3 linked regions of the Arabidopsis thaliana genome follow. Each later gene encodes a partner of the first gene's protein in a complex. Each region holds a gene or a part of one and is shown on either strand. Other genes may lie near its edges.

Evidence for each region. The genes of interacting proteins can lie anywhere in the genome.
Region 2: AT5G03220 (region 1) and AT5G05140 share a complex: the UniProt entries of both Arabidopsis thaliana proteins name them as parts of the mediator complex.
Region 3: AT5G03220 (region 1) and SFR6 share a complex: the UniProt entries of both Arabidopsis thaliana proteins name them as parts of the mediator complex.

What each region holds. Positions count from the first base shown.
Region 1 is NC_003076.8:766,877-770,710, reverse strand, and holds AT5G03220 (Mediator complex, subunit Med7), read left to right. Parts: upstream 1-1,793; 5' UTR 1,794-1,948; intron 1,949-2,120; 5' UTR 2,121-2,126; coding exon 2,127-2,261; intron 2,262-2,342; coding exon 2,343-2,412; intron 2,413-2,576; coding exon 2,577-2,743; intron 2,744-2,830; coding exon 2,831-2,904; intron 2,905-3,033; coding exon 3,034-3,094; 3' UTR 3,095-3,276; downstream 3,277-3,834. Other genes in the region: AT5G03230 (senescence regulator (Protein of unknown function, DUF584)), read right to left, coding at 575-1,075. UniProt on the Arabidopsis thaliana protein: Component of the Mediator complex, a coactivator involved in the regulated transcription of nearly all RNA polymerase II-dependent genes.
Region 2 is NC_003076.8:1,517,717-1,523,692, forward strand, and holds AT5G05140 (Transcription elongation factor (TFIIS) family protein), read left to right. Parts: upstream 1-1,988; 5' UTR 1,989-2,636; coding exon 2,637-3,098; intron 3,099-3,186; coding exon 3,187-3,255; intron 3,256-3,335; coding exon 3,336-3,418; intron 3,419-3,512; coding exon 3,513-3,565; intron 3,566-3,681; coding exon 3,682-3,831; intron 3,832-3,916; coding exon 3,917-4,209; intron 4,210-4,291; coding exon 4,292-4,373; intron 4,374-4,462; coding exon 4,463-4,581; 3' UTR 4,582-5,421; downstream 5,422-5,976. UniProt on the Arabidopsis thaliana protein: Component of the Mediator complex, a coactivator involved in the regulated transcription of nearly all RNA polymerase II-dependent genes.
Region 3 is NC_003075.7:2,496,264-2,500,985, reverse strand, and holds the start of SFR6 (sensitive to freezing 6), read right to left. Parts: upstream 3,056-4,722; coding exon 2,718-3,055; intron 2,641-2,717; coding exon 2,572-2,640; intron 2,482-2,571; coding exon 2,393-2,481; intron 2,310-2,392; coding exon 2,197-2,309; intron 2,086-2,196; coding exon 1,984-2,085; intron 1,540-1,983; coding exon 1,449-1,539; intron 1,262-1,448; coding exon 665-1,261; intron 457-664; coding exon 1-456. UniProt on the Arabidopsis thaliana protein: Component of the Mediator complex, a coactivator involved in the regulated transcription of nearly all RNA polymerase II-dependent genes.

The sequences.
Region 1 (3,834 bases):
TATTATTGATCCAAAATTAACATATTTGAAATTAAACTCAATCCAGCTTTGTTATATTCAAATTTCCTTAGTTCTACCGAGTTCAATAGATCTTAGCATTCGTTTATCTTCTTCATATGACCCCCATGGAATTATGAAATTTAGTTATTTTTTTGCTACAGTTTTTAAATTAACACCAATGAAATACATAAATTGACCCCTATGATCATTCCTTTATACATTTTGACCCCTAGAGCTGCAAGTTCTAGTTCCGCCACTGCCTATTTCTCTGTAGATTTCTGTAAAAATTGAAGTAACCACACAACAACCAAAATTCAACATATTTGAAACACACAAAAATATAAAATATTATTGATCATATCCAAAAAAGAAAAAGAAAAATAGACGATGATCAAAAACTCCAAAAAACAAAAATAACGCCAAAAGGAAATCGGAAAAATTCTCCTTCGGACCGAAACTATAACGATCCTCTAAACCCCTCCAATAAAAAAACACCAAGTCCTTACTTAAGATCTCTAAGTAATTAAAAGTTTACCTATAGAGAGTTATAATTAATTACATACTTATTATATTACTAATCCTGAAACCCAATCTTCTCCCAAATCGCGTTCCTCAATCGCCTTAGATCTCTTCCTTTCGCCGTCCCACCGATTCCTTCGTGCACCGTGAACGACGATCCTCTCCGTCTTGCCAAATACTCGTGCGGCGGAATCATCCGTCTCCCACCGTCGTTGCTATCGTCATCATCCTCGTCATCGTCGTCACTGTCATCGTCAGGTATCGCATGACCTCTATACTCACTCTTCAAGATCTTAGACCAATCGGGGATATTAACCGGAAGCGAACCGGTCTTTGTAATCTCCCGGTTACCTGAATCTCCGGTTTTCGTCGGTTTTCTCCGTAACCGAGAGATTGATATCGATCTTTTCGCGTCGAATGAATTCGGCAATTGATGATCGCCTAAGTTATGAATATCAGATTCGTCGAATTCAAAGACATTCTCATCGGACATCTCTGGTTTTGGTTCTGGATAGATATATTTAGGTTTGACAAAAAAAAGCTTCCTTGACGCCATTGATGAAAAACAGAGCGTGTAAAGAAGAATAAAAGAAAGATGATGTTTTTATGAAAACTGGATTCTGGGTTTTGATCAGCTTGTAGAAAAAATCTGAGAGGGTTTTTGTGAAATTTGAGATTGAAGGAGAAATGTGTTGAGATGATCATTTTTATAGAGAAATGTAGTAAAGAGATAAGCTCTCTCATTGGGTTAAACTTATGTGAGTTTATGACTTACACAGTAAACGACAAAAGTACAAAAGAAGATAAAAAAAAAAGTTTATAAGGTGTGGCAAGTCTCACGTTCTTATCGTGAGCTCTCTTTTTTTGTTTCACTCGTCCTTTGTTTTTCTTTTTCTTAAATAGTAAAAACTTTATGAGTTTATGATCAAAATGATGATGTTAATGGAATTTTTATCTTCGTCTTTGATTTAATTTAAGTTATCTTAAGATTTAATGTTGTTAGATATGATTTTTTTAGCTGTTTTAATTTTTTTTTGTTATTAAAATATTTGTTAATTTCTATTTAAATTGACAAAAAAATCTAGAATACACAAAAAATATATTTATTTATTATAAAGTAAAAATATTTACTATTTTTTAAATGTAAAAACGTAAGAATAACATCATTAGTGGGGTGATTAATCACATCCAAACAGCAGAAATCGAATTAAACTGAAAAGCCATTGTTTTAATTAAACCGAAACTAAACCAAAAGAAACCAGACTTATACGAACCGTCCGAACACGTAACCGAAAATTTACGAGAAAATCAAAACTCGTTTCGTCATTATTGACCTCTTGCTCTACGCCGTCTTCTCCAAAGCAAAATCAAAAGCTTCTTCGATCTTATTCTCGTCTGGTTATAATTTCCGATTCTGCATTCCCAATAGGTTCGTGTTTTTGTTAACCCTAATTTCTCTTTGTACCATGGTTGCAAATTTTATCCAGAATCGTTGGAGTAAAGTCTTAGATTTTGGATTGAATCGTTTGTTGCATCGATTAGAAACCTTAATTTTAGGAATCTGTTACTGATTTTGCTTAGTTTTTTATTTGGATCTGTAGGGAATAATGGCTACAGCTACGTATCCGCCTCCTCCACCATATTACAGACTCTACAAGGATTACTCAGAAAACCCTAATTCTGCTCCTGAACCTCCTCCTCCGATTGAAGGCACCTACGTCTGTTTTGGAGGCAACTATACTGTGAGTCTCCTCCACATTTCCCCCTCTTTAAAATCTTCATCTTTATGTGTTTTAGTAGTTTTCATTTTTTTTGGTTCGTAGACTGAAGATGTTCTTCCAAGCTTAGAAGAACAAGGAGTGCCTCAACTTTATCCCAAAGATTCTAATCTTGGTATGTCATTGTTTTAGCTTTGTGAATCAAACTCAAAACCCAATTGTTATTTGCTTTCTAGAGTACGGTTTTTGGTTCTTCCCTTAATTGGAATCAAACTTATTACATGAGTTCATTTGCCTCTTTGTTTCGTTGAAGAAAGTTTCAAATATCTTTGTGTGTAGATTACAAGAATGAACTCAGGTCACTGAATAGAGAACTACAGTTACATATATTGGAGCTTGCTGATGTTCTTGTTGACAGACCTTCTCAATATGCGAAGAGGATTGGTGAAATTTCTTCTATCTTCAAGAATTTGCATCACCTTCTCAATTCCTTGAGGCCTCACCAAGTAAAGAAGATCTCATCTTCGCTTAACTACAACATGATTTCATCAGTTTTTGTTTTCACTGTTTTGATCATCTTCTCTTATGTCCAGGCGAGAGCAACGCTTATTCACATTATGGAACTTCAAATTCAACAGAGGAAACAAGCTGTGGAAGACATTAAAAGGTGTGCATATTTTGTTTGTATACTGTACTTAATGGTGTGCTTATATCAATCCATCATCTGTTCAAAGATTTTTCAGAAACTTTGTTGGTAGTTCTTATGGGTCCGTTTGATGTTTTTGGTTGTGCGCAGAAGAAGAGAAGAAGCACAGCGACTTCTAAAGGATGCTTACCTCACTTTAGATGGTCAATAGAGTCTTTTTTTGTGTGTGTAAATTAGCAATTAATAATCTGTCTGTTATTGTTATTGACCTTCGAAGCTTATTATAATTTGTTAACACTAAAACAAAGTTAATTTGACAATCAACTAAGACTGAATAGTATGAGGATTGTATTAATTAGACCATAATTAACCGGGTTTTCTTTTGAAGGAAAAGAGAAAGAATAAACCGGTGATACAACCGAAACGGAACTATGATATATCGAACATACATTTGATGTGAATGGATCTGTCAATATCTCGAATAAAGAATTTGATTTAAGCAGTTGATTGACACCTGAACCGATGTTTTAGAAACTCATAGAAATACAAATTAAAAATAAATGTTCAGTTTATCCAATTGCAATTAGCCAGTTTCATTTCTTTTAGTTTTATCCAATCTAAAAACTCATTGCAGTTAATTTCAATAATATGACTCTATTGTGTATGAGGATTACTAGTGGGATTGTCCACAGAGGAACATGGCCCAACTCTGTGCACACATTATTGGATAGTCCAAAGATGAATGACACGTCGGATTATTACACCTCTATTCAGTAAACAAAATTGACACGTCCGATTACTTCACGTGGACTAAATAGGGACATGCCTTGTTCACTTACTTAAATAGTTTCTATCAAAATAAATAGCAAATTGTGGAATCATTTTTTGTTTCCACAATGACTCATTTTCTTTATCAATCTTGTATTTTTGTCAACCATATATCAAGATAAA
Region 2 (5,976 bases), 750 kb from region 1:
GAATAGTTTTCTTTGCTTCTGTATTAACTTTCTCGACGCTTTCTTAGAATCATTAGAGTAGCAGAAGAAGCTAATAATAATGCCTACTCGTTGAAGATAAACTTTAATCATCATTCATAAGCTTAAAGTTCTAGAACAAGTATGACACAATGATTCAAATAAATATATGCATATTGAATAATTTGAGCCTAAAAAATTCTAATTTTTCTTTCCAACTCCAGTCTAATTTTTTTTTGTCGACTTCTAGCAAAATACATTAGGTGTTATATCTATAATTGGTTATTCAGATAATAAAAAAATTGTAATGAGACCGTCCGTGGTAGATGGATTTCTTATCTCTTGTATACAAAACACGCACCATTTTCTTCAAGTAGGTCCACTAAAACACCGTAAAGCAGCCACTATATCTGCTGACGTGTCGGCCAATCAAAGTCTGTCACGTAAACGTGGCTGTGACAAGCCCGTGAGGTTAGCACTCAAAGGAGTCCCAGTGTTTTTCACGCGTTTGAAGGTGAGTAAATTCTGATTGGTAATCACCACCGTCCCAAATCGTACGACTTCGTTTTGTCACGTATTAACATAAAATCAAATTATAATATTTTTAGGGGTCGATTTTGTTGACCAACATTTAATACATGCTTCTCATTCCACAAACAGAAACTTCCTTTTCTTCTTCTATTTTCTGTTGTTGCTCTAACAAATCAAGCTAAGTTTAATAGTCCAACTTATTTTATAACTTTGTAAACACAAAACAAAGTTCTTACTTTGAATTAAAACAGTTATGATTGTGGTATCATTTTGGAACATGTAAACATAAACGAAAATGCAAATACAAAGAAAAACAGTTGATTTTTTTTTTTTTCAACAACAACAAAAATAAGACAATGTATGATGATTGATGACATGATGCTATCATGCTATGTCTTTTTTTGGTAAATTCTCTAAAATAAATATGATCTAAGTTAAGGTTTGGTTGGATTGTACCGGAACATTATGAGTATAAGTGAAGAGTTGTAACTTTTATTTACAATTGATAAATTGTAAATAAACTACATATCTAAGACCATCTCTATTGGGAGTATCTCATAAGAGTTTCTCACAATTAAAAAAATAAAAATAATGAAAATGAAGGAGAGAGAGTGTAGAAAGTTTCTCACTTGAGAAACTCTGAGATAGTCTCTACAACCCATCATGACAATTATCATCTTACTATTGGTTTAATTTTTTAACAAAAATATTTTTTTAATCAAATAATCAAATTATAATATAATATTAATATTTTTTTTGTTTGAAAAACTTTGTGGGTTTTTCATGGATGGAGATGCCCTAATGGCCTTAACAAGTATGGGTTATGAAAAAATAGTCGATGAATTAATGAAAAAGCTGTGAGGGTAACGAGGTTAAAACATTGTGAGTCATTTTGTACCTAATCCAAAGTACAAAGGGATACAAAAAAAATAAAACAACTTTTTTGTTAGATATTTTTAAAACATTGTAAACAAAGAAATACTTGTTTCTCTGTCTTACAAATCTGAACAAATTAAAGTACCTAATCCAATTTCTTATAAAACAAAATAAAATGAAATGATAGTGTTAACTGTTAAAACATGAAACTATTGTTTTGAATCGGATTTACCAAATATTCTAATATATCACTCTTTGACTAGAAGATAAACGCTTTTGATCAGCAGCATTAGGAAATAAATATCTCTTCTTCAGAGCTTCTCATTAAAGTCCGTATAACTAACTAAACACTCTTAGTAGAATTTACTTTTGACATTTTCCAACGTAAAAAAGATTTATGACCCAAAAAAAAAAAAAAGAGTTTGACCTTGTAATCACTTAACTTGTGTCGTCGTTCAAGTACAACGCATGTGTGAGGAAAAAAAGAATAATGTGTTTTTATAATAATAATGAAAAGCCAAAACAGACCGATCAGGTCAAAAGAAAGCCGTAAAGAAAATCCAACTTAAAATAAAAATAAAATCTCTTTTACCAAACAGATATACAGAGAGACTTCAATCAGAGGAAATAAATAAATTTCATTATTTCTCTTTCTGAATTAATAAAAAGGTTTCTTGTTGAATTGAATTTGTAGCTGTGTTTAACGTAGTAGCACTTGGGTTTTAGATAGACAACGTAACCAAAACTGTTTCATGTTCTGTCTGTATTCTCTCTTTTGCTTTTTTGGGTTTCCTCCTTCTTTCTCATCTTTGCTGCGGTGCATTTTTTTCTCGGGAAAATCCTTTCTGGGCTTTCCGGGAAAGTTTTCTTGTCAGATTCGGAAAGGTACCAAAAAAAATAAATTAATAAAAACTTACCAAACAGATTTTGTGTTTATCTCTCTCTCTATAGATTCTTTTGATCACAAATCCTTTTCGTTTTTGATCATATTTTGATTGAGAACAAAACAATCTTCAAAGTCTCAACCTTTAAGTTTGATTGATCTTTTTTTGGTAAGTAAATCTTCTGTCGTAGATTCGATATTTTCTGATCTTCTCTTTTCGAATTCTTCAATCTTCAACGATCCCAATCTTCTTCTTCTGGAAATCTATTTTGCTTCTTCTTCAAATTTTCTGGGGAAAAAATCAAATTCTTGAGTTAATTAGACTCCGATTTTGTTGAATCGAGAAACGATGAAAGCATCGGGTTCATTAGATAGCTGGAGAGAATATTTCCGACGGCGAGGAGATTCCGATATATTCGGGATCATCGATCATGCGATCATGGTGGCTGCTACTGATTGTCCTAACAAATTCAAATCCAGAAGAGACAAAATCGCCGAGCTTTTATTCTCCTGTAGAGTGAATCGTTGCGTCGGATGCGACCATCTTGAATTGTCTGTTCCCGGAGACGACGAGGCTAACCGTGGAACCACCGGAAATGGTGGTGGTGGTACGGCGGTTGATGAAGATTATGAGGTTGCTGGTGGTAGTAAAGAGAGCAAAGCTAATAGTAGCAGAGGGGATAATAATCAGATTGTTAGCAATTATACATTTGATGAAGCTGAGGCTTTGAGTGATGAGATTGAAGAGTTTTCTGTGGTTTCTAAGGAGGTTGCTAGGATCAAAGAGATCTTGCTCAACAAAGAAGATGAGGTTTGATTCTCAAGTTCTTGAAATTTCATCAATGTGAAGATTTTTTTTTTGTGTTTTCTGATTGGTTCTTTTTTGTATTCTCTTGCAGCCAAACTCGGTGTTACTCGATTCTTTAAGACATCTTAAGTTGATGTCTTTGAATGTGGATATTCTTAAGGTTGGTTATCTTGGTGGATAGTGTATGAAGTTGTTGTTGATGATCCTTGAGATTCTTAAGGTTTGCGGTTATTCTCGCAGAGTACTGAGATTGGAAAGGCTGTTAATGGCCTCAGGAAACATTCTTCTGATAAGATTCGACAACTCGCTAAGACTCTTATCGCGTATGAGTTTTTGATCTTTCACAAGTTTGATTGACATTTGCTATGCTTTTGCACTTTTGAATCTCACATTTGAGTTTTTGATATGTTTATGCAGAGAATGGAAGGAGTTGGTGGATCAATGGGTGAATACCACAAAGGAAATCACTGGTAATTGCGCTTTCTCTGTCTCGCTTTTCGATCTTTTATGACTGGCTTCGTGTCTTACCGTTTGGTTTCTTGAATTAGATCCATAGTCTTTGGTTCTAATTTTGTGTTTAAAACAGGTGCTGAAGGTACACCAGAGTCTGCAAACCCGTCTGTCCTTGATGAAGAAGAGGCGTTTCCATCGCTTCCATATGATGTTGATATCTTTACACCTGAACCAAACGGATTTGAAATCTCACACTTCTTTGATTCCTTGGACTTTGATGGAAGTGAGTTTTAAAACTATGTCTTGTTTGTTTGAGAACATGTTCTTAGCTACGTGTTGATTGATTTTCTTGGGGATGTTTGTTTCAGATCCTCGTAACTCTGAAGAACACAACACAAGCCGAGAGCATGAAAGAAGGCCACAAAATATCGCCAAGAGAAAACCTGAGGGAACACAAATGAGGATACAAGATGCTCCTTTTAGATCTATTAAGCCATCATCAGCTACTGATTTTGATGGGACTAGAAGACCTGTAAAGCAAAGTACAGAGCAAAGGATGAAGAACGAAACGGTATCTGTTCACAAGTCTGAAAAACCCATGATCCAAAGGAAACCGGTTGTTACAGAACAGAAGCGGAAAGCTCCTGGACCTCAACAAGAAGTGAGTGTGGAGACAAAGCTCTTGTCTAATATCCTATTCTTGGACGTAGAATTGATGGTGTTTTTGCTCTTGTCCCTTGCAGAAACTTAAAGGTCTTGATGCAGACGCAAAGTTTGAGTTTGCAAAGAGGAAACTTCAAGAAAGCTACCAGCATCACGAGAATGGTTCGTTTCATTTCCTTTCTTTTGTTTCGAGTTTTTTGTTACATTCTTGAAAACAAAAGAACTTAAAAATGTTTGTGATCTTGCCACAGCCAAGAAGCAGCGAACGATACAAGTACTTGAGATGATCCCAAAGCAAGGTAGTGCTCAGAAACCGCAACTCAAGAGACCTGGAATGAGCAACAGGAATTGGGCTAATGGGAGAAAATAGTTTCTGCTTTGTTCAAATGGTGAATAATTCTCGGCAAAAGATATTACTCCATACTTACCACACATATCTCGCAATCTCTGGTGCAATAAAGGTAAACAGAGTCTAGTTCCACAAAGCTGGAGACAGAAACAAGCAGAGGAGAAGGAACAGAATCCAACATAACTTTACTTTGAACAAACTGTTTACTCCTCTGTTTTGTTCTGTCTTGGATTCACCAATTGCAGCAAGATAGGGATACCAATTATTGTTTCTTTTATGTGTTCTTTACTACATTCTTGAGACTTTCGGTACAGTCCCGGTTTAGTCGGGTTATGTTCGGTTTTGGGACAAGGAGAGAGGTCCCTTTTACATATATATCATATAAAAATAGTAAAAGAGAGGGTAGAAAAGCTCATTCGAAATTGACCGGCTCTTCACCTAACTTTGTATAGTAATGTGAAATGATTTGGGACACAATATAGAGATGATGACACTTTTTTCCAAATAAATAAATATTTATATAATGATATCCAATTGTTATGAATGAATGTGATTGTGACCGAATGTTGTCATTTCTTATTACTTATGTATATAAAATAAGATGGCATTGGAAAGGCTTAAGGAAGGTGGGTGGATAAGAAAAGAGGAGAAGGTAGTGGGGGGTGGGAGATAACGTGGATGGATAGGAATGTTGTTGCAGTGTGGTCTTTGTGCGTGTTGGTATTTTTTATTCAATGTTGTTATTATCTCGGCGTTACGCGTTCACGCATTTCACCACATGAACCACGTGGACTTCTACAACTTCTATTAATCTTTCACTCCATTTCTATTGAAAGAAAAACAGTTGGATAGAGATAAATCTAGTTTTATGGTCACGATTTTATTTCGTGAAAAGGAAAATGCACTTTTTAGTTTGATTAAATAAGTACACCCAAACACTTTTGGACAAAAACAAACGTAATGATTTTTGGCGTGATGGTAAATTCGTATGGATGTGTTGGTTATTTTTGTAAACTTTAGCATGTGAGAGAAAAAAAAAGTTGAGCATGTGAAAATACAAAAAATATTGTTGTCTGTGTACAAAAACTGAAATGACATTTAACATTTAGTAAGTTTCAAAATTTAAAACATTAACTCATAATCTCAAAACTTTAAACTAAACAAAAAACTGCAATTCCAAAAGCTCTAGAACTTAAATCTTACTATTGATGCAGCGAAATGTCTTTAGTTTTTTTTTTTTTAACAAAATTATGAGATCTTTTTTTGTTGTTGGAAATATCACTACAAAATGTCTAATTCATACTATTTTAAGAATATAAAAAATCTCATTTATAATCAATATGCAATGAATAAATTGACCTATATCCATTACATACTTTGTTAGATTACACTTCATTTTTGATGTGAAACATTCTA
Region 3 (4,722 bases), on another chromosome or scaffold:
CAATTGCAGATCCAACATTTATTTGATAGTTTTCAACAGGTGAAAAAGTTGGACCAGAAAAGATATGAACTCCACCACGAAGAAAAGCAATCGCAATTTCACCACCATGAGCAGAATAGACAATCCGTGCAAGTGTCCGAATATCACTTGGCAAATCAAAAGGATCAAATACAACCTTGTTAGCCTTCTCATCACCAGAATCAGGCTCCTTTGGTGCATCCACACTTGGTCCTGCTGCAGCTACTTGATGATTCTTAAAATCTTTAGTAGGTGGTATGCTCATATCCACTCTGGATACCCAGACAGTTTGCGTGGGGACCTGTCCTCCAAAATTTGAAGTTGGGTTTCCAAATATCTGATGCAGTACAACAGGTTGAACACTTGATTCCCAGCGCTGTACTCTCCAGCCTGTGATTGAAGGACCTTCATCTGGATCATACGGAGACATGTACTGCCCTGCAGACACAAACAATTAGCATTTATTTTAAACAATAGATTGAAGCTGTTGCGCTTCATCACTCAAACAAAATTAGCATTTTCTCATCTGGCAGCTCTTCAATATATGAGCATTTCTAAATGATTGACCAAAAACTAAACGTAAACCTGAAAATGTTTATTCAATCATGGAAACAGTATGAGGTTCCGAGAAGGATGAGAACAGTACCTTCAACTATAACAACTGCTATCACTGAACCACCACGAGTTGGATCAAAAGCAACAGCGGTAACACCAGATCCCCATGTTGTGGTTGCTGCAGACTGAGCTGCAGCCTCTGGACTTACATAAGCAGAAAAATTGGAAACCGGTGAGCAACTTAGCGATATAGCATCACTGGAATCTTGATCTGAGGGCTTCTTCCCTTGCTTTATCTCGGATATTAAGTATTCTTGCCAGCTAAACAAGTACGCAGCTAAAGGAGCAAAACCTGTCCAAGAAGAAGAACTAAGGGATGGTGGCACACGACTGCCTGTAGAGATTTTTGGAGTCGCCTGGAGTCCATTTCCAGGGCCAGGGGTCACCTCCCATACTACAATTGTTGAAGGGTTTACAATTGGAACTCCTGCTACATGCATGGCACCACTGTCTGTTATAATAGCATCAGCAGCCATAATTCCACTTGGCCCTGCACCTAAAAGACCTTTCTTTGTACTAAACCACTTTGGTGCAGTGCTTCCCTGGTTAGAAGGCCACTGGGACCAATGAATTTGAACAGAGCCGGATGAGAAAACAGAGCATACACAGAGAAAGTTGGGCCACCGAGCTGCAACAAATGGTAGAGAATCAGAACCGTCACATAAAGTGGAGGAAAATGCACTAACGTCAGAACATGTTGTATTGATCTTGTCACATATATTTGGATGTCAAAGGAACTGACATAATTAAAATTAAGTGCATAATTCTGAATATATCATCAAAAAATGAGTCACAAGAGGCACGCAGAAGAAAACCTGAGCTTTCAGAGCTCTGCGAGAGAAATTTCTCCTCGAAAGTTGACTTTGCATTTGTACCAGAACTTGGCTTGGAGGACAACCACCTATACTGATTATCAATAAAAAGAAAACATAGAGGATAAATTTCCTAGGATAAAACTAGAGCAGCAAACTAGGTGGCCAGAAACAACATGATATTAAGTCCTTCAGAACATGTTCTTTGCAATGGCATTATTATCTATCTGTTACTCATTTCCTTATGTGTTCATGCCGATCATTAAAGAAATGCATCTAAGAAACGCAAATTGGAAGATCTTTTAGGAGTCTAGTAATTTTGCAAACAGAGAGTTGGGATTTCCAGGACGTTGTGTTTTCTCCATCTCATTTCCTCCAAAACGTAGAGACATTTCCAGTTCAATTACTCACGATTTAGTAATCCCAGTGCCCACTCTCACATGCAAGCCCTCCATTACTAATTTAACGAACTCATTAAGGGACAAATATGCTGTGCATTTGATAGAATGGCAAATAAGCAAAACATAAGATTACATACTGGGGAAGCCCCTGTCAGCCACTTTGTAACAACAGCAATGTCCTGACGCCATTCATGCTCACACTGCCAGGAGGTAGCGTCGTGCACTAAATTAGCCGAACCCTGCAAAACCAATCCACAAAAAAAAAATCATCTGAGGGTGTCATAAAACATCTTGACACAGAAGACAAAGAAGAAATATAAAGGTAAATCCCAGTGATCAGGAGCACAAACCTGAGTAGGCTGCGTCCAGATAGTTATACGTCCATGAAAATTAGCAATGAGTAACGCACGAGGACAAGAAGTGGGAGACCATTCGATAAATTGGACAGAATCACGAGGAGAGTCTACATATAAAAAATTGCATCATAATCGTTTATCACCCACTAGATCAACCGAGTTCATAAATAATTAACTGATATCAAAATACCTGCCACAACATTAAACACCGCACACTCAGTAGGGCGCTCAGGTATCAAGATATGTATTGGTATCCAAAAAGGTGTATTTGCCTTGGAGCTGCAAGAGATGAGAACAGAGAAAGATGAAAATTGAGAAATTCATCACTGCCCATACATTCAAGACATAGAAAAGTAACAAAAACCATACCTTGGAATCCTGGCACAGGTCTCGGAAGCACAAGCAATAGCATTCAATTTGCCACACCACGCAACAGCACTAACACAAAGAAAAGGAGAAAACTTTACAGGAATTGATGAAATTTAAAGATTTTCCGATGGGAGAGAGAGTCAAACCTGAAGTTACGGCACAATTCAGGAACACTCATCTTATGAAGCAAATTGGAATTGGGCTGCTTAAGCTTAACACAGAAAACTGTAGCCGGACTCACAGGATCAATCTCCATGTTACTACTACTACTATTATCGTCTTCTTTCTCTCCGTCTACTGATTTCTCTAACAATTTCTCCTCAACGACGACGAGAATCGGATCGGTAGACTCAATAGTCTCTTCCTGCTTCTGCTGTAATCCTTCTTCCTCTTTCTCCTCCACTATAGCTGGAGCTTCGATGATTCCTCCACCACCGCTATTATTAACCAAAGAAACTTCTTCTTCTGGGTTTTGCTGATTCATGTCAACGAAAGCAAACAAAACCCTAAATTTATAGAAAAATCGGAGAAAAGAGGGCAAGTGTGACAAAAAGTCGCGATTGAAGGCGACAGAAAGCACTGTGCGTTGAGAGAGAGAGAAAGTGTCAAAGTGAGAAACTGTTAAGTGGGGTTAACGAGACGACTTAGTGCGGGGAAAATTCCAAAATCCCCACAAAATCAAAATCGAACAAAAAATGCAATTTTGATTTTAGGGTTTGGTGGAGTCACAGTCTCGTCGCCGGGATGCAGAAAAAAAATCTCGGTGAAAGTGATGCAAAAACGCCGTCGTGTCTGGTCACTTTCTCTCTAAATTTTTTTCCCCTCTTTTTGTAATTTTTTACTTTTTCTTTTAAGAGCAAAAAATGAAGAAGTAAATTTTAAATGATAGTTTTGAATCTTTTGATTAAGGAAAATGATCATAATTTCATTTTTTCTTCTAATTTACCATCTTCAAATTCAAATTTGTAAACATGGAAAGGTACTAACTTAATTTGACATTTGGCATTTGAGGATCCTTGTTTGACATTAGTTTTTTTTTTTTTTTGCTAAATTTGTTAATATCATTACAATGAGAGTTCAGAAAATACAAGAACGTACAACCTATAGAAAAGTAACCAAGGCAAAAAAAATAAAAACAAGGCTACAATAGAATTAGAAAAGATTTAGGTGTGTTTAACGAATCCATAAAAGCATTAGCCGCTGCCAACGCTTGCGATGTCGTCGAGAAGTGATTAGGTTGCGAAGCTCACGATCCACCAATTTGAAGATGATAAGAGGTGCCACGCGAGTAGAGTTGTGCAAAATATTAGGCTTAGGCATTAGTTCATTTGCCTCCTCCCAAATCAAAAGTTAGGCTTAGGCATAAGTGTTTCCCATGGTTGTTGTATCTCCCTCAATGTAGCACGACCAAGAATGAGAATCACTTATTGCTTACACCAAATTCTTTGAGTTACATGCATAGCGTACTGAAAACTAGTTGTTTCGGCTTCTAACTAGATACAAGCAGAGCCATCCATGAGCACAAACGGGTCAAGCTCATGCTTGCGGCTTCAATTAATATAAAGGGAATTTAATGAAAAAAAACCTCAACTTTGGCCAGATCCATTTTTAAACCCTAAACTATGTTTTTAGTAAAACAAACCCTGAACTAAAACCTGTTAATAAACTTAACCCTAAACGTTGTTTAATTACTGTGGGGTTAAGTTTATTAACAGGTTTTAGTTCAGGGTTTGTTTTACTAAAAACATAGTTTAGGGTTTAAAAATGGATCTGGCCAAAGTTGAGGGTTTTTTTCATTAAATTCCCTAATATAAATAAAACTTTTGCCTCATTTTCTTATAACTTTCAGTAGAAAAGTTGGTTATTTGCTTATAAGATTACATTAGAGAGTCAAAAGTTTGAGTTCATCTTCATCTTCATTTGCCTTTTTATTTATTTTTTCATTTTCACTCATTAAACTAGAACCAAAAAAAAATTCCTTCTTTCAATCTATTAAATACTAGGGATGGATATGTCTTTGCACCATACCCTTTTAACCACCTTCTCATATCTAAGAATGCACCAAATTTCAAACTTATTCATTCCATGTTTACAACATTACTTATAAGTTTACTTGAGCTAGTTGTTCAATTTAAAAATCTCCCTATGTGA